Anolis sagrei: one gene and its partners. The protein of the gene in region 3 interacts with the protein of the main gene of each other region in a biochemical or structural test. Links are inferred from orthologs where the notes say so. Each region holds a gene or a part of one and is shown on either strand. Other genes may lie near its edges.

The links.
Region 1: the proteins of KIT (region 3) and MPDZ form a complex in vitro, tested with the Homo sapiens proteins (2 studies listed by BioGRID and IntAct, with this or other methods). The link is inferred for Anolis sagrei from reciprocal best matches to the Homo sapiens genes KIT and MPDZ.
Region 2: the proteins of KIT (region 3) and TEC form a complex in vitro, tested with the Homo sapiens proteins (2 studies listed by BioGRID and IntAct, with this or other methods). The link is inferred for Anolis sagrei from reciprocal best matches to the Homo sapiens genes KIT and TEC.
Region 4: the proteins of KIT (region 3) and GRB7 form a complex in vitro, tested with the Homo sapiens proteins (3 studies listed by BioGRID and IntAct, with this or other methods). The link is inferred for Anolis sagrei from reciprocal best matches to the Homo sapiens genes KIT and GRB7.

Annotation. Positions count from the first base shown.
Region 1 is NC_090022.1:214,825,241-214,832,428, reverse strand, and holds the start of MPDZ (multiple PDZ domain protein), read right to left. Parts: upstream 3,012-7,188; 5' UTR 2,620-3,011; intron 2,445-2,619; exon of another isoform or gene 2,365-2,444; intron 2,178-2,364; exon of another isoform or gene 2,115-2,177; intron 1,962-2,114; exon of another isoform or gene 1,893-1,961; intron 1-1,892. UniProt on the Homo sapiens protein: Member of the NMDAR signaling complex that may play a role in control of AMPAR potentiation and synaptic plasticity in excitatory synapses. Promotes clustering of HT2RC at the cell surface.
Region 2 is NC_090025.1:75,990,729-75,997,601, reverse strand, and holds the start of TEC (tyrosine-protein kinase Tec), read right to left. Parts: upstream 3,019-6,873; 5' UTR 3,007-3,018; coding exon 2,884-3,006; intron 1-2,883.
Region 3 is NC_090025.1:74,176,260-74,183,268, reverse strand, and holds the start of KIT (mast/stem cell growth factor receptor Kit), read left to right. Parts: upstream 1-3,990; 5' UTR 3,991-4,120; coding exon 4,121-4,184; intron 4,185-7,009. UniProt on the Homo sapiens protein: Tyrosine-protein kinase that acts as a cell-surface receptor for the cytokine KITLG/SCF and plays an essential role in the regulation of cell survival and proliferation, hematopoiesis, stem cell maintenance, gametogenesis, mast cell development, migration and function, and in melanogenesis.
Region 4 is NC_090026.1:42,671,200-42,678,320, reverse strand, and holds the start of GRB7 (growth factor receptor-bound protein 7), read left to right. Parts: upstream 1-4,118; 5' UTR 4,119-4,302; coding exon 4,303-4,324; intron 4,325-7,121. UniProt on the Homo sapiens protein: Adapter protein that interacts with the cytoplasmic domain of numerous receptor kinases and modulates down-stream signaling. Promotes activation of down-stream protein kinases, including STAT3, AKT1, MAPK1 and/or MAPK3. Promotes activation of HRAS.

The DNA of each region.
Region 1 (7,188 bases), on a different chromosome or scaffold from region 3:
CTATCCAGATTCTACAGTCATTTTAGGGCACATCTACACTATAGAACAAAAGATGTTTGACACCAAGGCTCACTGTTACGGAATCCTGGGATCTATAGTCAGGTGAGGCACAGAAGGCCCAAGGCCTTGTAAAACCCCAAATTCCCAGGATTCCATAGCAGTGAGCAATGACAGTTCCAAGTGATGTCAACTTCATGCAGTTTGACACCACTTAAACTGCCATGGCCAAATGCTACAGAATCTCGGAGTTTGTAGTTTGGTGAGACACCACTACTACAACAGAGAAGGCTTGAGAACTTGGAAGATCACAACTCCCAGGGTTCCATAGCACTGAGTCATGGTAGTTTCAGGTGGTGTCAAATCAGCGCAGTTTAATGCTACTTTGCCTGCTACAGTTGAGTGGAATCCTGAGAGTTATATTTTGGGGAGAAGGCGAAAGACTTTGGAAAACAAGAATTCCAAGGGCTCCATAAAACTGAGCCATAGCAGTTCCAAGTGATGTTAAATCTGCACAGTTTGATGCCACTTTCATATGGTTGAATAAAACCCTTGGAATTAGACCAGTGAGGTGAAAGACCTCGTAAAGCTACAACTCCCTTGATCCCACTGCATTGAGCCATAGCAGTCAAAGAGATGCCACAGAGAGTTCATTGTATAGTCTAGATCAGGCATGGGCAAACTCTGGCCCTCCAGGTGTTTTGGACTTCAACTTTTTTCCATGTCAGGAGTGACTTGAGAAACTGCAAGTTGCTTCTGGTGTGGGAGAACTGGCCATCGACAAGGACATTGCCTGGATGTTTTACCATCCTGTGGGAGGCTATTTTCATGTACCCACATGAGAAGCTGGAGTTGATAGACGGGAGCTCCCCCTGCTTCCCAGATTTGACCCGCTGACCTTTCAGTCAACAGTCTTGCCGGCACATGGGTTTTACTCAGTGGTTCTCAACCTGTGGGTCCCAAGATGTTTCGGCCTTCAACTCCTGGAAATCCTAACAGCTGTTAAATTGGCTAGAATTTCTTGGAGTTGTAGGCCAAAACACCTGGGGACCCACAGGTTGAGAACCACTGGTTTAACCCATTGTGCCACTGAGGGCTCCAGCCAGTAGGCTGTTAGGAATTGTGGGAGTTGAAATCCAAAACACCCGGAGGGCCAAAGTTCTCCCATACCTGGCCTAGATGAACCCTTACAGTAGGCTGTTAGGAATTGTGGGAGTTGAAGTCCAAAACATCTGGAGGGCCCAAGTTTGCCTATGCCTGGCCTAGATGAACCCTTACAGTAGGCTGTTAGGAATTGTGGGAGTTGAAGTCCAAAACACCAGGAGGGCTGAAGTTTGCCTCTGCCTGGCCTAGATGAACCCTTACAGTAGGCTGTTAGGAATTGTGGGAGTTGAAGTCCAAAACACCGGGAGGGCCGAAGTTTGCCTATGCCTGGCCTAGATGAACCCTTACAGTAGGCTGTTAGGAATTGTGGGAGTTGAAGTCCAAAACACCTGGAGGGCCGAAGGTTGCCTATGCCTGGCCTAGATGCACCTTTATAAAGGGCATTCCAGAGAGGAAGTCAAGCGAGACTCCACTGGCCCAGGAAGGATGCTCTGTCTCATCTGCCTCCCTCGCCTCCACACCCTCAACTGCGCAGGTAGCAGGGACACATCCCACTTCCTCCCAAAGCCCTCCAACTTCTTTCCCATTTCAAGCCTTTGCAGGGCGAGAGAACAAGAAGGAGAGAAAGGGACCCCAATAGCCTCAAGATAGTGGGGCAGACTGTGGCACAAAAAGGGGCCACGCGGGTGGGGTGGAGGCAGAAGAGTTATTTTGTTCCCATTGTGACCCCCGAAGCCATCCCCATCCGAGAGGAAGCGGCGCTTTTGTTGATATCCCCAAACCCCTCCTACCCGAGGCCGGCGCTGAAGCAGAACCGACCCGCATCCCGCCTCGCTCCTCCCGAGGCCCAAAGCGTGGCCCCCGGTGAACCCCTCCTCCTCCTTCTCCTCCTCCTCCTGCCCTCTTCCTTCCTCCCACCCGCACCCCTGAAGGACCTCCCCTCTCCTTCCCTCATGTCCGACTGCTGGAACTTCGCCAGTCCCACCAGCTCCAGAAGCAACAGGCGGCCTGACCTTTCCCTCTCCAGCCGGCCACGGCGCTTCCCTCCTCCTCCTCCTCCTCCTCCTGCTTTTCTCCCTCCTCCTCTTCCTCTCCCTCCTTTCCCCCCACAGGACACAGCAACCAATGCAAGACCCGGCCTTGCCTTTTTTCCCAGGGAGCGCCCACCCACCCTTCCTTCCTTCCTAAAAAAATGGAAAGAGGCTGAGCAAGAGCAGCAACAGCAAAGCCCCCTTGGACCCATCTCCACATAGAAAGGCATACTTCTCTCTCGGCGCCCCTTGGAAGCTCTGCAAAAACAGAAGCCAAGCCGCCTCGAGGACGCCCCCTCCTCAGGGAAAGGGAGGGGGGAGGATGGAGGAGAGGGGTCGAGGAAGCCCCAGAAAGGCTGCCTCCAACGCCTCCCGCCAGGAACAAAAGCCAGAGCCGGGATGTTGCCTGCTTCCTTGGCGCCGCTTCCGAGAGGGAGAGAGACACACATACATTTGCACAATGTATCACGCAGCACATTTCGCTTACCAGGCCGGGTCTGCTTCTCAGTCTCCAGAGCTGCCCCCCTTTCCCTCCCCAAGTCCGGCTGCGGGTGGGCTTTGGAGCTGAAGGGTTAATTTCCCGCTCAGTTGCTTCTCCAGAGATGACCCTCCACACATACACACACTTTTCCCCCCTCACGAGTTCAGCTCTAGGTTTGGAGCTGAAGGGTTATTGTTTGGTTCAGCCCTGGGGTTTTTCTCTCTTTGAGCCAGACTTGAAGGGGGGCCTTTTCCCTGCCCCTCTGCTCCCTTTCCCCTCCTGAAGTAACGGGAGGATAAACACACAGACAGCCATGAAACTTAATCCCGCCCGGCCATGGAGCGGCTGGAGGTCCAGCCTCTTCAGTTACACACACACACACACACAGCCCCGTCGCCTCCCCTCCTTTCCCTCCAAGGCTTTGCGAGGAAGGAACCATGACAACAGCAGAGGCAGCCACAACAGGAGGGGCTCCGAAGGTGCCCTGCGAAAAGCGCGATTCTCTTCTGCCAAGGCTGGCCTAGATTCTGGGTTGCTGTTTTTAAACCCAGGCGGAGAAGGAAGGAAGGAAGGAAGGAGAGAGAGAGAGAGAAAGGCAGGAGAAGAAGGGGCAGGAAAAGAGTGCGAGGAAAGAGTGGGCTGAGGCCTCTTCCAAGGTTTCTTTGAGCCTTGCTGTTCTTTGTGGGGAAAGAAGTTGCCTGGAATTCCATTCACTATATTGTCCAAGGCTTTGATGGCCGGAATCACTGGGTTGTAGGCTTTTTGAGCTGTATGGCCATGTTCCAGAAGCATATTCTCCTGACGTTTCACCTGCATATAAGGAAGGCATCCTCAGAGGTTGTGAGGTCTGTTGGAAACTAGGGAAATGGGGTTTATATATCTGTGGAATGTCCAGGTGGGAGAAAGAACTCTTGTCTGTTGGAACTAAGTGAGAATGTTTCAATTGGTCACCTTGATTAGCATTTGATGGTCTGACAGTTTTTAGGAGACAGTTTTTAGGAGACATGATAGCCATGTATAAATATGTGAGAGGAAGTCATAGGGAGGAGGGAGCAAACTTGTTTTTGCTGCCCTGGAGACAAGGACATGCATGGCTTCAAACTACAGGAAAGGAGATTCCATCTGAACATTAGGAAGATTTCCTGACCGGGAGAGGCGTTCAGCAGTGGAACTCTCTGCCCTGGAGTGTGGTAGAGGCTCCTTCTCTGGAAGCTTTTAAACAGAGGCTGGATGGCCATCTGTCAAGGGTGCTTTGAACGCAATTTTCCTGCTTCATGGCAGGGGGATGGACTGGATGACCCATGAGGTCTCTTCCAATTCTATGATTCTATAGGTCTGCCTTGTTACTCCCCGGGGGAATCCATTGTTGGGAGGTAATGGCTCCCCCCCCCCCCCCCCCGGTCTGGAGCGACTTAAGAAACTGCAAATCGCTTCTGGTGTGAGAAAATTGGCCGTCTGCAAGGATGTTGTCCAGAGGACGCCCAGATGTTTTGATGTTTTACCACCCTTGTGGGAGGCTTCTCTCCTGTCCCCACATGGGAGCCAGAGCTGACAGGGGAAGCTCATCCACGCTCTCTGCAGATTTGAACCTTCGACCTGTCGGTCTTCAGTCCTCCTGGCACAAGGGTTTAACCCATTGTGCCACTGGGGTTAACTGTCCCTGATTGTTTCTTGTGATTCCCTCAGCCAGTAACAAGCCACACTTTAAAACTGTCCCCCATCAAATGCTAATCAAGGTGGCCACCTGAAACATTTATACATAGTTCCAACAGACAAGAGTTCTTTCTCTCACCCTGAACTTTCCACAGATATGTAAACCCCATTTTCCTAGTTTCCAACAGACCTCACAACCTCTGAGGATGCCTGCCACAGATGCAAGCAAAGCATCAGTAGAGAATGCTTCTAGAACATGGCCGTACAGCCCGAAAAACATACAACAAACCATTCCATTCACTGTTTGACATTTTCTGGTCATTTCTGCAGCCCCTTTTTTTGTCACAATGTCCTACATGCAACCGTTGTTACTTGTTTTCCACAAAGCAAGTAACTGACAAGTCTACATAGGAGTTGCCAAACGCAGCACCCAATCACGAATCGAGGAACATGAAAGGCACTGCAGACTAACTCGATCAGAGAAGTCAGCCATAGCAGAGCACTTGATGAACCAACGTGGACACAGAATATTATTTGAGAACACAGAAATGCTGGACCACTCTAACAACCGCCACGTCAGACTACACAGCGAAGTCTTTGAAATCGACAAGCATGTGGACAATTTCAACAAACTGGAGGAAACCATGAAAGTGAACAAAATCTGGCTACCAGTTTTTTTTAAAAAAAAAAACCTCTAAAATCACAACAGTAAATAAAGAACAAAACTCTAAAACAGGGGAATTCCGGACAAGAAACAATCAGAGCTAGCTAACATCTCCCAACAAAGGATTCCCCCAGGCAGCAACCAGCCAGACCTTGAAACTTCTAGCTATTCAATGCTATTCAAGGTGGCCATTGCTTCAAACAGACAAGAGTTCTTTCTCCCACCCTGGACATTCCACAGATATATAAACCCCATTTTCCTAGTTTCCAACAGACCTCACAACCTCTGAGGATGCCTGCCATAGATGCAAGCAAAACGTCAGGAGAGAATGCTTCTGGAACATGGACATACAGCCCAGAAAACTCACCTCAGCCAGTGATTCCGGCCATTAATGCCTTCAACAATACAAGTAATTGGCTTGTTTTGTTTTTCCAGGTTAAAAGCTAGTTTGTTTGTGCCAGCCTTTAAAGAAATGCAATTGTGCCACTTAGGACGCAGCTGCTGATTTCACTCCTCTTATTGGCTTGTTTTTTCTTTCCATTTCTTCCAGCTTGTTTTGAGCCGCCTCACAGGAATCCTGTTGAAAGCGAGGGTCTGGCCCAAGTCACCAATCCCAATGGAGGCTGTAGCCAAGAAATCAGAAGACTCAAAAGGACCTGTTTGAAAGAACAAGATTTTCAAATTTATTTATTTATTTACTATATTTATAGCCCACCTTTCTCAGCCATATGGCAACTCAAGATGTACAATTAAATGTAAAGATATACAATTAAATGTCAAAATCAGGCTCATTCAGGCCATAGGGCTTAAAGCTCACATTAAAAACTGGCATAGATACTGAGAACACCAAGAAGCTTTAGGTGCTCTTACTGCCTATTACAGGGAAAACTAGCTGATTCCTAAACCATCTAAAACTCAGATGTGTGTTTTTCATCTTAAGAACAGAGAAGCATCCCAAGCTCTGAGGATTACCTGGGAAGGAATCCTACTGAAGCATTGCAGCACACCCAAATACCTTGGAGTCACTCTAGACTAGGGGTCCTCAAACTTTTTAAAAAGAGGGCCAAGTCACAGTCTCTTCAAACTGTTGGAGGGCCGGATTATAATTTGAAAAAAACATGAATGAATTCCTATGCACACTGCACATATCTTATTTGTAGTGCAAAAAGCACTTAAAATACAATAATTGAAATGAAGAACAATTTCAACAAATATAAAATTATTAGAATTTCAATGGGAAGTGTGGGCCTGCTTTTGTCTGATGAGATAGGATTGTTGTTATTGTTGTGTGCTTTCAAGTCATTTCAGACTTAGGTTGACCCTGAGCGAGGGCCGGGTAAATGACCTTGGAGGGCCGCATCCGGCCCCCGGGCCTTAGTTTGAGGACCTCTGCTCTAGACCGTGCTCTGACTTATAAGAAGCACTGCTTGAATATCAAGCAAAAAGTGGGTGCTAAAAATCATATCATACGAAAGCTGACTGACACAACCTGGGGATCAGAAGAGGACACAGTGAAGAAATCTGCCCTTGTGCTTTGCTATTCTGCTGCTGAATATGGGTGCCCAGTGTGGAATACATCTCACAGTGTTAAAACAGTGAATGCGGCTCTTAATGAGAAATGCTGCATTATCACAGGCTGTCTATGTCTTACGCCACTGGAGAAATTACACTGTTTAGCCAGTATTGCAACACCTGACATCTGTCGGGAAGTAGCAGCCAGTAATGAAAGGACTAAGGCATTGACATCTCTGGCCCATCCTCTGTTCAGATATCAGCCAGCACACCAATGTCTTAAATCAAGAAATAGCTTCCTAAGATCAACAGAGATACTCTCAGGAAAATCTTGACAAGCAAGAGTCCAAAAGTGGCAGGCTAAAACCCGGAACCTCAATCAGTGGCTGAGACCCAATGAGAAACTCCCTCCTGGGCACACAGAAGGCTGGGCAACTTGGAAGGCACTAACAGACTGAGTTCTGGCACCATGAGATGCAGAGCCAACCTTAAGAAATGGGGCTACAAAGTGGAGTCCATGACATGCGAGTGTGGAGAAGAGCAAACCACAGACCACCTACTACAATATAGTCTGAGCCCTACCACATGCACAATGGAGGATTTCAGTGACAACAGAGGCATTCCAAGTGGTCAACTTCTGGTTAAAGTACTTTTAGCATAATACCAAGTTTTTACCTTTGTTTTTTTTATACATTATGACTGAATTCTCAATTTGCTTCTGACACGATAAATAAATAAATACCAAG
Region 2 (6,873 bases), about 1.8 Mb from region 3:
TAGTGCCAAGGAAAGACAATTAAGGTTTTCCCAGTATTTGAAAAATAAACAACGGGATTCCACGTGTTAGACTGATAGCGTCTCCATGGGAATGAAATCGGTTTAAGTTAGCCCCTTGAATTGTTCTGTGTGAGAGAGACTGAATTTTCAAGAGATAGTCATTTTTAATGTTCTCTGGATAGGAGATTCTGGCCTTGTTTTCATGTCATGTTTTCTTGTTTGATATTGGGAAATAATATTTTGGATACAGTTCTTTGTCTATGTTTTATGGGTTTTTTACTTGGTTTCAGTATTGGACTCTGCTGTGTACTGTGACTGTAACCTATATTTTGGAATTATTTTTGAAGTCACTATTTGGGTTGTACTTCTGTTGTTGCCTTTTATGTATACCTGGAGAATACTTTGCTATTTTGTACTCTGGAATGTACTATTGAACTAGCTTGTTCTATATAACACTCTTTTCTTTAATAAACTTTAAATAAGTTGATTGATTCCTGTTGGCTGAGCTATACTTGGACTAATTAATTTTGGGTGAAAAGGTGCCACATAGGTGGTTGGGCTGCAACAGATACACCCATATGTCTCCAGCCTAAGGTGTCTCTTCTCTATGCTCCTTGATTGTATATAAAATAGAGGATTGAATGTGTGCTTGTATGAAAGCTTTGCTCCTGATCCCAAGTGGATGGGACTCCTTGAAATCATCTAAGCTGCCTCCACCTACTGATTTAGCCCCCCTGGCTCAGTGGGAAACTCCTGATGGGTTGACGTGGTCTTTTCCCTCTTGGACTCTATAGAGACTTTCCTATTCCCCCTTTGTGGTGAGGGATGAGAATGCGAGCAAAAGGCATGTGACAAGAGTATGAAAAAGCAATCTTTTTATTTTGAGCAAGCAATCTACTGGTGCATCTACACTGTTGAATTAATGACATTTAATACTGCTTTAACCTCCATGACCCCATGACTTCCTGGAATACACCGAGTTGTAGACCTTGTAAAACTACAACTCTCATGATTCCATAACCTTGAACATGGCAGTTCAAGAGATGTCAAACTGCATGAATTCTATAGTATAGATCAGGGGTCCCCAAACTAAGGCCCGAGGGCCGGATGCGGCCCTCCGAGATCTTTTACGCGGCCCCCGTTCAGGGTCAACATAAGTCTGAAATGACTTGAAAGCACACAACAACAACAAACAATCCTATCTCATCAGCCAAAAGCAGGCCCACACTTCCCATTGAAATAATAATAAGTTTATATTTGCTAAAATTGTTCTTCATGTTAATTATTGTATTGTTTTTAAGCGGATTTGCACCACAAATAAGATATGTGCAGTGTGCATAGGAATTCATTCTTTTTTTTTTCCAAATTATAATCCGGCCCTCCCATAGTTTGAGGGACTGTGACCAGGCCCTCTGTTTAAAAAGTTTGAGGACCCCTGGTATAGATGCACCCTGCATTTCTGCTGTAGAGGTTTGCACGCTGGTCTATAACTCTGGAGACCAGGATTTGATTCTCTACTCAACCCTGGAAACCAATGGGTAATCTTGGGTGGGTAACATACTCCGACCAACAAAAAACTCTGTTAGGGTCACCATGGGTCTGAAACGACTTGAAGGTACAACAACAATGTTTTTACATGAAATAATCTTCTATTAGGCACCCTTAGAGAAGTTACAAAATAGCCAAGGTCATATTTAGCTGAGGTTAAAGAAGCAAAATCGTCTAACATGTCTGAGAAATCCCTATTCTACTCACTATACAAACAGAATCCTAGTTTTAGATGTTCATGGGAGCTGGGAGTCTGGATGCTTTGCTCAGCTTCAACCAAGTTTCCTCCCCGGTGAGGCAGGGTACATCATTCCTTTGTCTTCCTTTGTCCCTCTCCTGCCTTATGATTGCCAACAGAAATATCTTGAGGCTTCCCAAACCAGATCACCCTCACTGGTCAGTGGTCTCCTGTGATCTTTGACTCCTTTGTGATGCTGACCCCAAACAATTTAGCAACTACATACATCCTGATCCACCTGGAGAGGGGCGAGATACCCCTCCCCTAACGGGAGAACCCATGACCACAGCTTGCCTTTAATTTTAATAATGGCATCAGCATGTGAATCCCTCTCTCAAAAACTCACATTACTTTTGGTCTATTGCTCATTAATCTAAATCCCCAGAACAAACCCCAAGAAGGGAATAATATAGCAAAAGAACGCAATGGAGGGGAAGTACAGTACATATGTCTGGATATGGGAGGATCAGATTTTCTATCCTGCATGATTACTTTTCACGTAATCCCCCAACCCATGTTAATGGAGCTGACAGAAAAATAAGAGGTCAGTTGTATCTAGTTTATCTTTAAAATAATTTGGCTATACTTCTCTTATTGAAAGACCAAAAAAATAAATAAAATAAAACAGCGTAAAATGAGGGGGGGAAAGGTATGGATTAAGTCCTATTATAGAGCAGACTCTCCATTAACCAGAACTCAAACAACCAGAACCCTCAAGCAACTAGCAGAAATATCAAAGAAATAATACTTTAAACACAAAAGCTAGTTTTATAATACATCAAAACAGTATAACTGTGTGACTTTATATATGGTTTGTCTTTATTTGTCTATATTCGCTTTTGTGTACCTTGTTTCAAAATTAATATCGAGTCAATACAGAGTTTATGGTTTTTTATGGGGCACTGTATTAGTTAAAATCGTAACTTCCAAGCAACTAGAAACTACATTTATCTGGCATCTACCAATTCCCATGGGTGCCGGTTAGCCAAGAGTCTACTGTATAAATGTTCATAGTCATTTTAATAATATTTGCACAGGGCTTATGAAACAGTTACAACCAACAACACTAAAGCAATACTCACTGCCCTCTCACACACCTTTTTGCCTCCTCTTTTTCTCCAGCAAGTCATAATGGAGATCTGCAGAAATCTATATGGAACTGGATCAATCTCTAGAAAAGTATCCCCAATAATTATATTCCTTTGGCTCACTAAAGCCATCAACAAATGTAGCACTTGGACAGGAAGATCAAGTCTCAAGAGAACTGAAAAGAAGACGAGACAATCAGGAAAGAGCAGTGGTGGGGTCGGGGGAGAAGAAACCACAGAGGAGGAGGGGAAAAACCACTAGTGTACCCTGTGACTCTGAGAAGGAGGAAGTAGCATATGGTGGGCGGAGGAAGCAGTTTTGCGGACGGACTGCAGTGCCTTCGCTATCAGAAAGGCCACACAAAAAGTATATGTCATGGTTTTGCATCTAAACAGTTTCTTATCTCTTTCAAATGAACATATAATTTATATTAACGGTAACAAACAGCAGCATTTTTTTAATTTGACGTATAACAGTAAAATCTAGGAAATAAACACCCAAAATACGCAAAACATGTGTCAATTAGGTAGGGAAAAGCCATCTCACAAGTGTAGCCACACCTTTATTAACCTCATTATCTACACACAAAATCTCTCCCCGGAACAAGGGCCAAGAAAGAAGTGTTTATCAGATGCCATTTCTTCTATAATGTGCTGAAAAAGTCTGAAAATGGTGATAAGAAGGAACTGGCTGTACTATCACAGAAGGTAGCAGATTGGTTGCAACTGTTTTACTTGATTCTAGCTAAAAAGAGATTTAATGTCATAGAGTAGAAAACCTAGTAGAGATCTAAGAAATAAGATGAAGGGAAGCAGATCATTTTCTGGAACCACCCTTAGTTCTGAGTGCCCAGATATTGACTACAACCAAAAATTTGCCACTTCAATGCCAGCTGACATGCCAAGTATGCTCACTTATAGAGCTTGTAGGTTTGGTCCAAAGACGTACACCTTACATCTGGACTTCTATCATGTATTCCCATGGCTTTGCCTCCGAAATAAACAAAAATTGGTTCCAAAGGCAGGCCAAACTGTTAATCATGAACACTTCTACACTGATTTCCAGTCTGTTTCTGGGTTCCAGTCACAGTTTTGGCGATAATCTTCAAATCCCTGCCAGACTAATCTTACAGTTATCAGATTTCAGCAAAGTATTTTGATTAGCAAAATGATTAATTACAGTGGGAACATTATGAGATGGGTCCATAACTGATTGAAAAGCTGTGCTCAAAAAGCCTTCGTCAATATCAATGGCTACGCTTAAGACTGAAAGGAGGTATTGAGCTTCTGTCCTAGGGCCATTACTCTTCAATATTTTTATTAGTGGGGTAGAGGAAATTGTTATCAGGTTTGCAGGTGACACAAAACTGCATGGGTGGCAAATACACTGAAAGACAAGAACAGATTTCCAAAGAATCTAGAATCTATTAATTGTATTGATTTTGGGCTAATTTTCTATTTTATCTAGAGGTGCATCCACACAGTGTGGAAAACACGTGGCTTCCTGGATTTTTATGTGGGGCATCCAAACAACGCCCCATGTAAAAACAAACTTCTTTGGGACAAAGAAGGAAAACCTCGCTTTGCCCTGAAGTAATTTGATAGTGAATTAGATCCAGGTCTTCCTGAAAGACCCGTGTCTCACCCACTATGCCTGCTGTCTGGACTGCCCCCTCGGAAATTCTGGGTCTTTCGAGGGGCAGTCTACACAGCCCTCTCCCATTTTTCAAGCTCAATCAGCCTGGAAAACGCAGAGAGCTCTAACCCCCCCCCCCCCACAACCCCTCCCTGGGCAATCTGGCTTAAGCTCTGCTGGCGTGGGCCCCTACACCCGATCCAAATTGCTTTATGGCTGCCGCAAGTGGTCCTTACCAAACAGAGTCCTTTAGTAGATTTCCAAGAGGAAAGAAGGCTTTCAATTCCCAGTGAAGGCTGGCTGTAAAACCGTGGAGCTGTATTTCTCCAGCAAAGAGCTGGCTGTAGAGTTGTGGAACTAAATCCCCCAACAAAGGCTATACTGTAGTTATCTGTAGAGCTGTGGGGCTAGAACCCCCCAGCAAAGCTGTAAAAGACGAAGCTTTCTACAGGAACTGATTTACGTCCTGTACGAAAGGCTTCTCTGTGTGAACTGGAGGTCCCCTTTTTCCCTCCTTAACCCAGAAAAAGGGGCAGAACTAAAGAACATAATGCTAATTGATGGGTCATTGGCCCTATTATTGCAAATCAAGGGTAGCCACCTTATTGCAAAATGCATGGAACTTTGGAATACATGCAAACACTCAATAGAAAGGAAAAGAAGTTGGAGCTCCTGGTACAGCTGTACCAGCACATATACTTTTCCCAGAATGTTTGCCCTTGCCTTTGTCTGTGGCTGAGAGAGTGTGACTTACCCAATGGTTTCCAATGATTGAGTGGGGATTTGAATCTTGGTCCCTCACCATCCTAGTAAACAATTCTTTTTCATGTCAGGAGCAACTTGTGAAACTGCAAGTCGCTTCTGGTGTGAGATAATTGGCTGTCTTTAAGGACTTTGCCCAGGGTATGCCTGGATGTTTTGATGTTTTACCATCCTTGTGGGAGGCTTCTCTCGTGTCCCCGCATGGGGAGCCGGAGCTGACAGAGGGAGCTCATCCGCACCCTCCCCGGATTCGGACATGCGTCCAATGGTTTAGCCCATTGTGCCAAGGGGGGCTCCTAGTAAACATTATAACTGATGGTTATAATGAATAATCTCTATGAAATAGATACAAAAGTGAAAGTCCACATAGCATGAAAAGAGTTCCCCAGGAACTCATAGCTTGGATCTTGCTGGGGGGACATTTTCTACATCTTTTGCAGTATTTGCATGAAAATTACACATGAATAAGCATAATATTGCTGAAATCTAACACACAAACCAGAGAGAAACATTGTCACCACATTATCTGTTTAATGCAAACCAGACAATTTTTACCACATTAGCTATTTTATGCAAGGAAGCATTTTTTTTCCCAGTACTCCTGCAGTAGTGTAGAGAAAAGCTGTCTGATCTGCATAATAAATCACTTCCTGGGTATCCGGTAGGGTTTGGCTCCAGGACCTCATGAGGATACCAAAGTTTGTGGGTGCTCAAGTCTCATTATATACAATGGTCTAGTAAAATGGTTTCCCCTTATATAAAATGATAACATCAAAATTTGCTTTCCCAATGTCTCTAATATTTTTAAACAGTGAAATATTGAATCCATAGATGATTGAACCCATGAGTATAGAGGACTGGCTGTAGTTCATCATGTGGCTAAAGCTATTTAAAGATATTGGCTGTGATGGCCTCCACATAAACTCTTTGACAAAAGCACACAAGCCTCTGGTTAGAGGGATGGCAGAATTCACTCTTAAGGGAAGTGTGGAAACCAGAGATACTGGATGCATTCTCTCATAGGAAACCACTGTGGGTGAATATTTAAACCCATATCCCAAGGGCCTGAGGCAGCAGGCTTTCCTTTTGTTCTCTACCCTGCATGGTCTGAAAGGCAAACTGGCAAACTCTGGTGCATCACAGAAGTATGTTGAAGGTTATTCCAAGCCTTTATGGCTCTGTACCACATACAGAATATGTGTGTTTACCCACCCTAACCCGACACACTTGAAATGAACTGGGAGATAGGCACACTCTTTAAAATGAGCAAATCCGGCACCAGGAATACTGCTGCCTTAGACAAATGACATAATAGTCCTTCTCTTCCCGTTCAACCTGCAGAAACCAACAAGGGACAAACTTTCTCTTTTATGATGGCTGGACCAGCTACTCACCCAAAACTCCATTTCACAAAGAAGAGAATGCGGGTGAATATCTATCCTCCTCCGTAGCAAAACCTATTCCTCAAGGCTCCTGCACATCCACTGCCTAAGGCAGCCACCTTACTTTGCCCAACGGTAAGGCCAACCCTGTAGAATCATCTAGTAATAAAAGGTGAAGTGCTTATCTTTATGGCATTAGTATCACCGTTTGTTTATCTG
Region 3 (7,009 bases):
CCTGACACGAAAAAAACAAAAACAAAAAACCAACCCAGAATATCAAGGCAGAAATTTACACAATATTGGCTTAGAATTGGGTTATCTAAGTCCACACTGCCATATATTCCAGTTCAAATCAAATAATATAGGATTTATCCAGCTGTGTGGAAGGAGCCTAACTAGTCTCTGAGAAGTCTTAGGCCCCTACTTCACTGCCATATAAAATCCAGATTATCTGCTTTGAACTAGATTATATGCAGTGTAGACTCATAATCCAGTTCAAAGCAGATAGTATGGATTATCTGCTTTGATTATCTGAATTATAAGGCAGTGTAGAAGGGGTCTTAGACTGGATCTACATTTCCCTATATCACAGATCCGATCCACAATTATCTGGCAGTGTAGACTCATATAATCCAGTTCAAAGCAGATAATCTGGAATCAGATCCTGGCATATAGGACAGTGTAGATCCAGCCTTACTCAAATGCTTACAATTCTATTGTTACCCATTGACACGGCAATCCAATACCACACATTCTTAACATTCACAATTCTTCAATAAAAATGCCATAAGAGAAATGGGGAAAAAATTAGCAGAGTCCAGGTCATGATCACCCTAAGGCATTTTGGTGACTGAGGCTGGATCTATACTGCCATATAATCCAGTTTAAAGCAGATAATCTGGATTTTATATGGCAGTGTAGATCTAGCCTGATATAATAGGGCTGGATCTGTGTTGTCGAAAAATGTTGTTCCTCTTCTTTATAGCCTTTATTCCTTATAAAGAAACTGCCAGGGCTGAAAGATGATGGGGAAATGGCTCAGATGTTGCCACCTGAGAAGTGGTGGCTTCACTGTTTTTCATTAGGGAGCCGGCCCAGATGCAGCCATGCTGAACTATTCCTAAATGTGGAAACTGTGAGTTGGGTATGCTCAATTGCACTCTGCGAAAGACTGGCATGCCAACCGAGAGTGACTAATGTGATTTATGGATACTTGGTTTACTTTTTAGCATACAAATGTTGAGTATCTCTTATCCGCAATGCTTGGACCAGAGTGCTTTGGATTTGGGGTTCTTTGGGTTCCTGTATTTGCATATTTGCACACAAGGAGATGTCTTAGACATAAGACCCAAGTCTAAACCCAAAATTATAAACAGCCTCCAACTAAGTTTATGTAATATATATTTTAAATATATATATATAAATGAAGCACAAGTTTGTATACATGAAACCATCAGAAAGCAAAGGTCTTGTTATCTCAGGCCCTCTTGTGGATAATTTTGGATTTTGGGGTGTATTTTGGAATTCCGGGTAAGGGATGCTCAACCTGTATCAGTAGCAATGCATGGATTGTTAGACCTCTCTCAGAATAAGCGAAGTTTCAACTGAAAGGAGGAAATCATGAAAATAAACAAAATCTGGCTACCAGTATTTAAAAAATAAACTCCAAAATCAGGACAGTAAATAAAGAACAACACTCAGAAGACAGGGGGATTCCAGACAAGAAACTATCAGGGCTAGTAACACCTCCCAACAAAGGATCCCCAGGCAGGAAGTAGCCAGGCTTTGAAGCTGCAAGGCTATTCAAAGCTAATCAAGCTCGCCAGCTGAAATATTTGCACTTGCCTCAAGCAGACTAGAGTTCTTTATCCAGCCCTGGACATTCTACAGATATATAAACCTCACTTGCCTAGTTTCCAACAGACCTCACAAGCTCTGAGGATGCCTGCCATAGACTCAAATAATGTGGGATTTTCTGCCTTGGTATTCTGGGATATAGAGCTGTGTGGAAGAGCACCGGGTTATCTGAGTCCACATTCAGTTAATGTGGGATTTCCTGCCTTGATATTCTGCGATATAGGGTTGTGTGGAAGGGCCCCAGGTTATCCGAGTCCACACTCAGATAATGTGGGATTTCCTGCCTTGATATTCTGGGATATAGGGTTGTGTGGAAGGGCCCCGGGTTATCTGAGTCCACACTCAGTTAATATGGGATTTGCTGCCTTGATATTCTGGGATATAGGGCTGTGTGGAAGGGCTCCAGGTTATCCAAGTCCACACTCAGTTAATGTGGGATTTCTTGCCTTGATATTCTGGGATATAGAGCTGTGTGGAAGGGTCCTGGGTTATCTCAGTCCACGCTCAGTTAATGTGGGATTTCCTGCCTTGATATTCTGGGATATAGGGCTGTGTGGAAAGCCCACAGGCTGTGTAGAAGGGCCCCGGGTTTTCCAAGTCCACACTCAGTTAATGTGGGATTTCCTGCCTTGATATTCAGGGATATAGGGCTGCGTGGAAGAGCCCCAGGCTGTGTGGAAGGGCCCCAGGTTATCCGAGTCCACACTCAGTTAATGTGAGATTTCCTGCCTTGATATTTGGGAATATATATTGGGAATATATTTGTGAAAGGGCCCCGTTATCTGAGTCCACACTCAGTTAATGTGAGATTTCCTGCCTTGATATTCTGGGATACAGGGCTGTGTGGAAGGGCCCCAGGTTATCTGAGTCCACACTCAATTAATGTGGGATTTCCTGCCTTGGTATTCTGGGATATAGAGCTGTGTGGGAGAGCACCGGGTTATCTGAGTCCACATTCAGTTAATGTGGGATTTCCTGCCTTGATATTCTGCGATATAGGGTTGTGTGGAAGGGCCCCAGGTTATCCAAGTCCACACTCAGATAATGTGGGATTTCCTGCCTTGATATTCTGGGATATAGGGTTGTGTGGAAGGGCCCCGGGTTATCTGAGTCCACACTCAGTTAATATGGGATTTGCTGCCTTGATATTCTGGGATATAGGGCTGTGTGGAAGGGCTCCAGGTTATCCGAGTCCACACTCAGTTAATGTGGGATTTCTTGCCTTGATATTCTGGGATATAGAGCTGTGTGGAAGGGTCCTGGGTTATCTCAGTCCACGCTCAGTTAATGTGGGATTTCCTGCCTTGATATTCTGGGATATAGGGCTGTGTGGAAAGCCCACAGGCTGTGTAGAAGGGCCCCGGGTTATCCAAGTCCACACTCAGTTAATGTGGGATTTCCTGCCTTGATATTCAGGGATATAGGGCTGCGTGGAAGAGCCCCAGGCTGTGTGGAAGGGCCCCAGGTTATCCGAGTCCACACTCAGTTAATGTGAGATTTCCTGCCTTGATATTTGGGAATATATATTGGGAATATATTTGTGGAAGGGCCCCGTTATCCGAGTCCACACTCAGTTAATGTGAGATTTCCTGCCTTGATATTTGGGAATATATATTGGGAATATATTTGTGGAAGGGGCCCGTTATCTGAGTCCACACTCAGTTAATGTGGGATTTCCTGCCTTGATATTCTGGGATACAGGGCTGTGTGGAAGGGCCCCAGGTTATCTGAGTCCACACTCAATTAATGTGGGATTTCCTGCCTTGGTATTCTGGGATATAGGGCTGTGTGGAAGGGCCCCGGGTTATCTGAGTCCACACTCAGTTAATGTGGGTTTCCCTGCCTTGATATAATGGGATATAGGGCTGTGTGGAGAGGCCCTGGGTTGTCTGAGTCCACACTCAGTCAATGTGGGATTTCCTGCCTTGGTATTCTGGGATATAGGGTTGGCATTTCCCTTCCTGAGGCATTTAGAACTGGGGGGTTTATGTGGAAAGGCACCCTATATAAAGTGTTCGTAGTTTAATAAACTTTCCCCATGTTTTTATGACAGGACCAATTAGGAAATGGCAATGATAAGTCAGGCACTGAAACCGTGTTACGTAGCGTTGTGATTATTATTATTATGTGTTGAAAAGGCAATTGACTTTTCCACAAAAGGGGAGAGAATCCCACTGCCTCAGACACAAGAGCTGGGAGCAAGCGCCCAACGGTCTTCCTGAGGCGCGCGCGAGGCGAGAAAAGAGGGTGCGCGAGCGAGCGAGGGAGAAACAAAGGGGCGTGGCTGCGAGAGAGAGAGAGAGAAAGGGAAGGAGGGAGGGGAGAAGCCGGAGGGGGGAGTTGGACGCCCCCTCCCTCCCTCTCCCGCCAGCGCGCGCGGCATCCGAGGTTGGATGTGTCGCGCGCCGCCCGCGCTTCCTTTCTCACTCCTCGCCTGGCTTTGGAAGAGGTCAGTCAGTCAGTCGGTCCGTCGGGAGGGACGCTCGCTGCTGGCGTCATGAAAGCCTCCTGGGCTCTCGAAGTGGCCTGGCTGGCGGCGCTTCTGGGCTGCCCGGCAACAGGTGGGTGAGCGGGGTGAAGCGGAATAGGAAGGGAGGGGGCGTGTGTTAGGGCACCTGAAGCAAAGGCTCCTTCAGCGCCGCCTCGCTCGCTTCTTTTCCCCGGTCCGGCTTGAGTTAGGCGCTCCACGCCCTCCTCGGTGCCGCTTCCAAAGGCTTGGCTTTGAAGTTGCATCCCAAGAGCTGGAAGCGTCCCTGAGGCGCGCGCGAGGGAGCCAGGAATTGATTATTATTGATTATTACAATATACTAGCCGTCCCCTGCCATGCATTGCTGTGGCTCAATCTGGATCCCCCGGTGGTGCAGTGGGTTAAACCCCTGTGCCCTCAGGACTGAAGACCCGACAGGTCAGAGGTTCAGATCTGGAGAGGGCGCGGATGAGCTCCCTCTGTCAGCTCCAGCTCCCTATTCGGTGACATGAGAGAAGCCTCCCACAAGGATGATAAAACATCAAACACATCCGGGCGTCCCCTGATGAACGTCCTTGCAGACGGCCAATTCTCTCACAAATCCGGGGAAAGTACGAATGAGCTCCCTCTGTCAGCTCCAGCTCCCTATACGGGGACATGCGAGAAGCTTCCCACAAGGATGATAAAACATCAAACACATCCGGGCGTCCCCTGGGCAACATCCTTGCAAATGGCCAATTCTCTCACACCAGAAGCGACTTGCAGTTTCTCAAGTCGCTCCTGACACGACCAAAAAAAAGAAAAGTCTGGTGATTTGGAAAATAAAGTAATGAGAAAGTGTTGGTTTCTAATATATGTAATTTCTTTATGCTTGTTGTTTCTTTGTCAGTGTTGATGTGGAGATTGTCAGGTTTGCCTACTCTGGAACATGCGACATATAATTGTCCTTAGAATCATAGAATCATAGAGTTGGAAGAGACCTCATGGGCCATCCAGTCCAATCCCCTGCCAAGAAGCAGGAATATTGCATTCAAATCACCCCTGACAGATGGCCATCCAGCCTCTGTTTAAAAGCTTCCAAAGAAGGAGCCTCCACCACACTCCAGGGCAGAGAGTTCCACTGCTGAACGGCACTCACAGTCAGGAAGTTCTTCCTCATGTTCAGATGGAATCTCCTTTCTTGTAGTTTGAAGCCATTGTTTCGCGTCCTAGTCTCCAGGGAAGCAGAAAACAAGCTTGTTCCCTCCTCCCTGTGGCTTCCTCTCACATATTTATACATGGCTATCGTATCTCCTTCTTTAGAGGTCCCTTTCAAAACTATGATACTATATCAGTCATATACATAAATGTGTGTGCGTGTGAATCATGTAAATCTGTGTATATCTATGGCTGGATTGTCCTTTAGTGGGCCATTTCAAATCTATGACACTATATCTGTCATCTACATATATGTGTGTGTCAACATATCTATCTATCTATCTATCTATCTATCTATCTATCTATCTATCTATATCTATGGCTGGATGGCTCTTTGTCAGGAGGGCTTTGGTTATGTTTTCTTGCCTTGGTGAAGGGAGTTGGACTGGATGGTCTTAAGTCAGTGTTTCTCAATCTGGGAGTCGGGATTCCTGGAGGAGTTGTGAGGGGGTGTCAGAAGGGTCGACAAAGACCACCAGAAAACACAGTATTTTTGGTTCTGTGTGGGAAATTTGACCCAATTCTATCATTAGTGGGGTTCAGAATGCTCTTTGATTGTAGGTGAACTGTACATCACAGTAACTACAACTCCCAAATGTCAAGGTCTATTTCCCCCAAACTCCATCTGTGCTTGTATTTGAGCACATGGAGTATCCGTGCCAAGTTTGGTCCTGATCTATCATTGTTTGAGTCCACAGTGCTCTCTGGATGTAAGTGAACTACAACTCCAAAACTCAAGGTCAATGCCCACCAAACCCTTCTAGTGTTTTCTGTTGGTCGTGGGAGTTCTGTGCGCCAAGTTTGGTTCAATTCCATCATTGGTGGAGTTCAGAATGCTCTTTGATTGTAGGTGAACTATCAATCCCAGCAACTACAACTCCCAAATGACAAAATTAATTTTTTTAGTGATGATCACTCCTTGGGTTAGTAGGTGTCTTGTGGCCAAATTTGGTGGCAATTCGTCAAGTAGTTTTTGAGTTATGTTAATCCCACAAACGAACATTACATTTATATATATATAGACTAGAACTCCCAAACTCAAGGTCAATGCCCACCAAATCCTTCCAGTATTCTCTGTTTGTCTTTTGAGTTCTGTGTGCCAAGTTTGGTTCAATTCATTGGTGGTGTTCAGAATGCTCTTTGATTGTAGGTTAACTATAAATCCCAGCAACTACGACTCCCAAATGACTTAATTAATTTTTTTGAGTGATGATCACTCCTTGGGTTAGTAGGTGTCTTGTGGCCAAATTTGGTGGCAATTAGTCCAGCGGTTTTTGAGTTATGTCACTCAAAATGAACAGCATTTTTATATATATAGATGATCATAGGTATAGGCAAACTTGGGCCCTCCAGGAGTTTTGGACTCCAACTCCCACAATTCCTAACAGCTTACCGGCTGTTAGGAATTGTGGGAGTTGGAGTCCAAAACCCCTGGAGGGCCTAAGTTTGCCCATACCTGTATTATCCTCATCCTCATCATTATCTGTGTCGTGGGGTGCATCTCCACTGCAGATTTCAAGCACCTTTACTCCACTTGCACTGCCCTGGCTCAATGCTATGGAGTCCGGAGTGTTTGTTTGTTTTGCAAGGTCTTGAGCTTGCTTTGCCCAAACGTGCAGGTGCCTCAGTACACTACAAATTCCAGGATTCCATTGCAGTTGAATAGGTATCACAGCATTCAGAGATGCTTGCACAGACACACCCATTTTCCCGAAGCAGGGA
Region 4 (7,121 bases), on a different chromosome or scaffold from region 3:
TAACCTCTTAATGTATATATGTTATAAATAACTTTTCAATAACTTTAAAGTATATGTTCTTATGTACTTATGATGTTGTTGCTTGTTGCTTATGTTTTGGTTTTATTTTGCTGTAATATGTTGTCTGGGCTTGGCCTCATGTAAGCCGCCCCGAGTCCCTGTCGGGGAGATGGTGGCAGAGTATAAATAAAGTTTATTTATTCTTTTTATTGCGATTTTCCAGTATGAGAAAGGATATCAGAACTTTTAAATTTTTACAGAACAACATTTGACATGCAGGCATGCAGTTTTAATGCAACTACATTGAATGCACAAACAACCTACACTGGCTAACAAACAAACAAAGGGGAATTACATTTTTACTCAGCATTTTATTTATTTATTTATTTACTTTGCTTATATACCGCTGTTCTCAGCCCAGGGGCATTCACATTACCCATATATTCATCTTCATGCATACATTCCTCCGTCATCTCCTGGAGAAGAACATATCTTAAGTCAGATTCCCAATATTTCAAAAACCTCTAAAACTTCTAAAATTCTAAAATGCATCCTCTTTCCCTAAAAACAATGCCAAGGATCAGATCCCTGTTTTCCATATAGCAGAAACTGACTCCCTGCACAAAATCCAAAACTCCAAAATTACACTCCTTTCTCTTCCCTTGAGAAAAGGAGGCAAGTGACCAAACTGCGTTCCATTGCAGATCTGTCACTCCCAAATACATACACCATCTCTCTCTTTCCCAAGGAGCAGAGCATTGGGGGGGGGGGGGGGGGGGGTTGGTTTAACAGCCACTGTCTATCACTATTTTTGAATTTTAATAAGGTCTCTTGTATAACAATTTTCTGCTGATGTTGTTCCAAAGTTGTAAATAAATGATAGATATTTTTCCAGTTGGAAACATCCTGGCTTCATCGCTTCCTGGACAGATGTTGACTCTTCTTAATTGGTGTTGGTAAATGCAAGGCTTGTGTTGAGTTCCTTCTGAACATAAGGAATCTTGTAAGAATTTCCTTAACTTAAAGAGGTATTGTCTCTTATCAATGTAAACATGTTGTTTTCCCCCAAAAGTTCAACAGTTAATCATTGTCACTGGTTATTAATGTCAGCAGTTTGGCAATCTTTAATTAAAGTCCCCGAGTGTATCTGTCCTCCAGGCCTTAGTGTTCAGAATGGTGTCTCCAAAATTATTAGCTCTCATTCATTCATCTTTCATACAATTCCATTCAATTGTACATCATATATTTCATGACACATAGGGCTGGTGTGCCGAAAAGATACATAATATATAGTATATAGATCAGGGGTCCTCAACCTAAGGCCCGGGGGCCAGATATGACCCTCCAAGGTCATTTACCCAGCCCTCACTCAGGATCAACCTAAGCCTGAAACGACTTGAAAGCACACAACAACAACAACCCTATCTCATCAGCCAAAAGCAGGCCCACATTTCCCACTGAAATACTAATAAGTTTATATTTGTTAACATTGTTATTCATTTTAGTTATTGGTATTGTTTTAAATGTTTTTGCACTACAAATAAGATATGTGGAGTTTGCATAGGAATTAATTCATTTTTCCCCAAATTATAATCCAGCCCTCCAACAATTTGAGGGACTGTGACCTGGCCCTCTGTTTAAAAAGTTTGAGGACCCCTGATATAGATTTTCCTCTATATTGACTCATAGTAATGCATAGTAAGACATTATGTATGTGTGTAGCATGAATGCATTGCATGAATGTAACAAAAAAACAACCTCTGAGTCTATGAGAAAACAGTAAATCGTATATTTTTAAGAATATAAATGAAAGGTTTATATTACTATGTTGCAAAATGATGCAGGTCTAAAAAGTGTGTCACCCACACATGCAATGTTTGGAAAGCTCTGATCTAAGTACTTAAATTCTCTGCTAGAGAGCATGAAATGTTTGGATTACTCTACCATAAACCAACACAAGTTATTTGTGGCAAGAAAGAGTTCAGAGCATTTTGGATGTTCTGTAGTTAATAAATGGAAACAATGTAATACAATTATGTAAACTATAAATGTAACCATCTCAAATAACATATACTGTAGAATAAATCAGAGTGCTAAATAAGGAAAATAAGGCTCATCCGAAAAGAAGCAAATTCCTGGAAATATTGAGGCCTCCTGATTCTTTTTGTTTTGATTTTACCTGCTAGTTCCCTGGTTTCTTCCAGACTCTTTCTTGACATCGTCCAGGTTTTCTGGTGGTTTCCATTTTGAAGGCCAAATTTATAAATCAGTGCTTTTTGGAGTTCATGCCCTTCAAATACGATGTTTAGCCTCACAACTCTGTGTGTTTTATGAGTTCCATATAAATGCTCCGCCCCTATTTTATCTCATTATAGTTTAACTGTTTTTATCCTGAATATGTGGCTCACCCATTTTCATCCTTACTGTGATTGTGTTTATCTTATGATTTTTTTTCTTTTAATGTTATTTTGATGATGTTGTTGTTGTTTGCTGTATATGTTTTGATTTTACTGCTGTATTATGTTGTCCAGGCTTGGCCCCATGTAAGCCGCTCCGAGTCCCCATTGGGGAGATGGTGGCGGAGTAGAAATAAAGATTATTATTATTATTATTATTATTAAACATGCAGAAGAAGAGTTGGTTGAGGCATGCTTATCTACTCTCATAATTTCTCTCTATTTTGCTATTTTTAGTAAGTCAGTAAGGGATTCTGGAGGAATTTGCTGTATACCTTGTAACACACAGTTACAGTAGGATTGGTTGGAATAGAATCACATTCTTTCCTAATTCAAAGTTTATTGCCTTTGCTTTATTGCAGGATGTTGGACTGGATGACCCATGTGATCTCTTCCAACTCTATGGTTCTATGCATTGTTTACTACAGAGACACTTCTGCACCACAACTGCAATTCTTCCATTCATCATTAATGCTGCTAAAATCCTCACAGATTCAACGAAGATCAAGTAGGAAAAGAGGAGAAAAAGACATAAAAAGGCTTTGTAAAATGGAACTTCATTGTCAGAGGCTTTGTTAAATGTCTGTATTTTAGCCTGTTCTCCTTTGCAAAATTTCTAATTGCAACCTTTGTTTTTGTATTTTTAGTGCATGGATGCCTAAGGTAGGTCCCTTGTAACCCATGACAGTATGGATGTGAAAATGCTTATTCTGGCTGACTGAAGCCACTAGGTGCAGCTCTTCTGTGAAGGGCACGATATTTGACAAAGTCAGGGAAGCCATTTTGTAATTCCAAGGCTAAATATTGATTTTAACTTCTCACCAGCTGCCATGTTGTGACCGGATACCTGGAGGCAAATGCTTGTGTTGCCTTGAGGATTATTCATCGCTTCAAGCTCTCCTTTCGCTGCACAAAAGCTGTGAGTGAGATGCAGTCACGTTTCTTGTAAGGACTATAATAAAAAGTGCTTCCCCGGATACGACTGGCATGAATTCCCCTTGTTAAAAGTTTATCAGCCTGGGTTGAGTAAAAGATGGGAGGGAATGGTTAACCCTTCCCCTTACCACAACAAATAAAGTTTGTTTGGACAGATACCCCATATACATACGTGACCTCAGGTGACTTTCAGTATGCCTTTACAGCAGCTGAATTTTACATGAAGAGCTTGAAAGCTCGGCTTGGTAAGGAGGCCGCCTCTCCCTCCCTTTTTTGGGGCTATAGTCTGTAGTTGGCCTGACATGGCCCTGCCTGTCTCCATCTCTTATGTGGACAAAAATAGCTTGGCACCCTCTGCATTTTGAGCCGCTCAGTGTCTCCAGATGACTTCTGTTCCATAAGAAGAATGACCCAGACAGATTTGACCTGCATGCAGTGGAGCAGCCGTGGCCACCTTCTTCATGATGGTCCTTCAGATTAATTAAGCATCTTGGGGACTGAGAGCAAGGGATGAGAAGGGAGGGGGCTGTCAGAAGATGGGAAGGGTACAGAGTGAGCCATGCCGGATGGATCCTCCGTAGTCGTCACTATTTGAAGCATCCAGTCCTGTCATCTTAGCTGAGTGTGAAGCATATGGGACTTCAGCAGCCAGGGGAAGGGAGGGGTTTGGAGGCGTGGAAAGAACCCTTTGCGCAGTTACAGGCAGAATCTCTTTGGAGTAAAGTGGAGAAGACGGTGTCGGCGTCCTGGCTTTGGCCAGCGGGGCCACTCAGTTCAAGAAGGTGCGCAGCATACAAGAGACCCAGAATTTGCACCAAAGGAGAGCTGTAGGGGTGGTCTTCTGTTGTGTCTGGAACACCACAGTCACCCCACCCCACCTGCAAAGCATCCACCAGCCCTGGGCAAAGGAATGTGTTGCTGTCCTCTACAAGGTAACCACTCATCTCGGGGGGTTGTGGTCATGGAGGTCATGAAGTGTGAAGACCAGGCATGAGAGTCATCATTATTCATTTGGAAGCTAAGCCTCTTAGTTGGTGGGTAGGTGTGGTTTGAGACTCCTTAAAGAGTAAAGCAAATGGATTCATATCTTCTCCAGGATGGAATATTCCCATCTCCTGGTAGTAGAAAAAAACCCATTAAGGGTCAAGCCTGCTTTCAACTTCTTTTGTATGTGGTATTTGTAAATACTCAACGGTGAGGATAAGAACTTCATATCTGTTTTGTGATACCATTGTAATTGTTTCTCTGGAACACAGAGGTAATTCTACTTGTAAATTGTCATTTTGTAGTTGTGAGACAACACAACTGTGCCTTTGCATGTAATGAGGTTAGATACTTGCACCTACATTTGAGGCTGTGCCAATATACTGTTGAGAGCATTAATAGTTATGCATCCACATGTATGTCCAGGACAAGAAAGAGTAATCAAAATTCAATGGCAAAGAGAAGATTTGTGCAATCTTTTGATGCTAGATTGTATGACATGGTCTGAAGCAGTCTAGTCCATTGATGTGTGTGTGTGTCTGCACTGGTACACTTGTGTCCACATAAGCAAACACAGAGCATCATAGAATCATGTTTGTATATGTTCATGGTTCTAATACGGAATATGGGTACAGTTACCCATCTGTGTTTCGGTGAATACATGCTCATCTATGTTCTTTCCCTATTTGCTTATATGTTAGCATTTACAGATACTACCTTGAAAGAGAATTAAAAAGTAGTTGAAGGTGAGTTGTTTTCTTCCTGTGTTGTGCAGATGGGTGTCTCTTCGGCTTTTGTTCCTCATTAAAGGGGTTTTCAAAGGCCAATAGAACCAAACCTATTTCTTGAAACAACAATAGAATAGAATGGCTGCGTATGACTAGGTATTAATCACTCTTTCAATCCACCTTAAACAATTTAAGGAGGGTAGAAGTTGCCAGTTCTACCCTCCAATGCTTTGTCCTCAAAATTTACTGCTCAAACCATATGATATACCTGAAGTCAAATTTTACTGGACTTTTTTGGCCTATTATTGTTCCAAGACTCATATTTATAGTTGGGGCAAGGAGACACATGCTTGATATGCTATAGTCACATCAACACTATGCACCAGTGATTTGCAAAATCTAGTCCTCCAGGTATTATGAACTTCAACTCCCAGGAGCCTCAAGTGTCTTGATCGGTTAGTGAGGATTCTGAGAGCCGAATCCAAAATACTTGGAAAACCAGAGTTTGGAAACACCACTGTTGTAAGACTGACCAGGCTGCAGCTAATGGTCGTAAGAGCTGTTTAAAGTTGGATTCATAACTGGATTTGACCTGCCACAGCTCTTGTTAGATAAACAACCAACAATATATAGCTGTGAGACTGTTATTTACACACACACACACACACACAGAATACAGTCTCACAGCTATATATATCTATAATTGTTTCTCAGTTCTGGGTTGTTTGAGCAATATTCTGTATCGGATGAAAAAAAATCAAATCTGTCTCTCTTCATATGAAGACAGGGGTCCTCAAACTGTTCAGAGGGCCAGGCGACAATCCCTAAAACTGTTGGAGGGCTGGATTATAATTGGGAAAAAATCATGAATTAATTCCTATGCACACTCCACATATCTTATTTGTAGTCAAAACGCACTTTAAAACAATACAATAATTAAAATTAAGAATAATTTTAACAAATATAAAATTAGCATTTCAATGGGAGGTATGGGCTTGCTTTTAGCTGATCAGATAGGATTGTCGTTGTTGTTGTTGTTGTTGTTGTTGTTGTTGTTGTGTGCTGTCAAGTCATTTCAGACTTAGGTTGACCCAGGGCCTTAGTTTGGGGACCCCTGTCTAAGAACATAGCATTCTAGATATTTGTAAAAGGTAGCAAAGTATTGGGATAGAGCTTAAGGAAACTCAAAGGAAAGGCCTGAGAGAGTTGAATTTGAGGCAGCTTAAAATGTTGTTTACTTCTTTGGCAGTCTGATGTGAGCAGAGGATTTTGAGCGGGAATGTTGAAGCCATGTCCCCATCTCTGCTCAACCTGTGTATAAATGGAGGGCTGAGAGATTATTGATAAAGTACAATAAAAAGTAAACAAATAACCAGTAACCAATAAACCCCTGGTGAACGTCTTTCAAAGGAACTAAAAGCAAGAAAGCATTGTATACGTGGAAATTCTCACTGTTCAAAGAAATCTGGTGACCATAAGAATAGGTCTTGCGTCAGACACTGTTTTTATTATATTTGCTCAGCCATTGTTTTAACATCTTTTTATTGTGAGCAGCTCTAGGAGAGTTTGCTTAAAAGGCAGGTTAAAAAGATTGACTGATTAAATGTTCAAACATTACAACATTTTTTGCATTATACAGAAAAGGCATCCTAGGGCCCTGGCAGGCTTTGGAAAAGAAAAAGTTTGCTTCTTGAGTTTTGTTTTGTTTCTGTTTTTGCCAAGGTCTTGGATTACTGCTGATTTCAAACTCCCATCGGCAAGGATGAGACAGCAATTCAACACTCTGCCAAGGCTGTTGCAGCTGTCCAGCCCTCATAACCCTCACTGGTTTTATACGTCAGCTTTCATGCAATGAGACACCTCCCTCCCTGCTCTTCTTTTGAGGAAAAGCTTCTCAAAGTTAGTGTTTGCACCCAGCACTGTATTCCAACCAAGTCACTTTGCCCCAGAAGCAAATCCCTTCCCTAGTTAGCCTTTATCCTTTCACATTTTGGTTGCTCTGTCATGTTCCCATGGT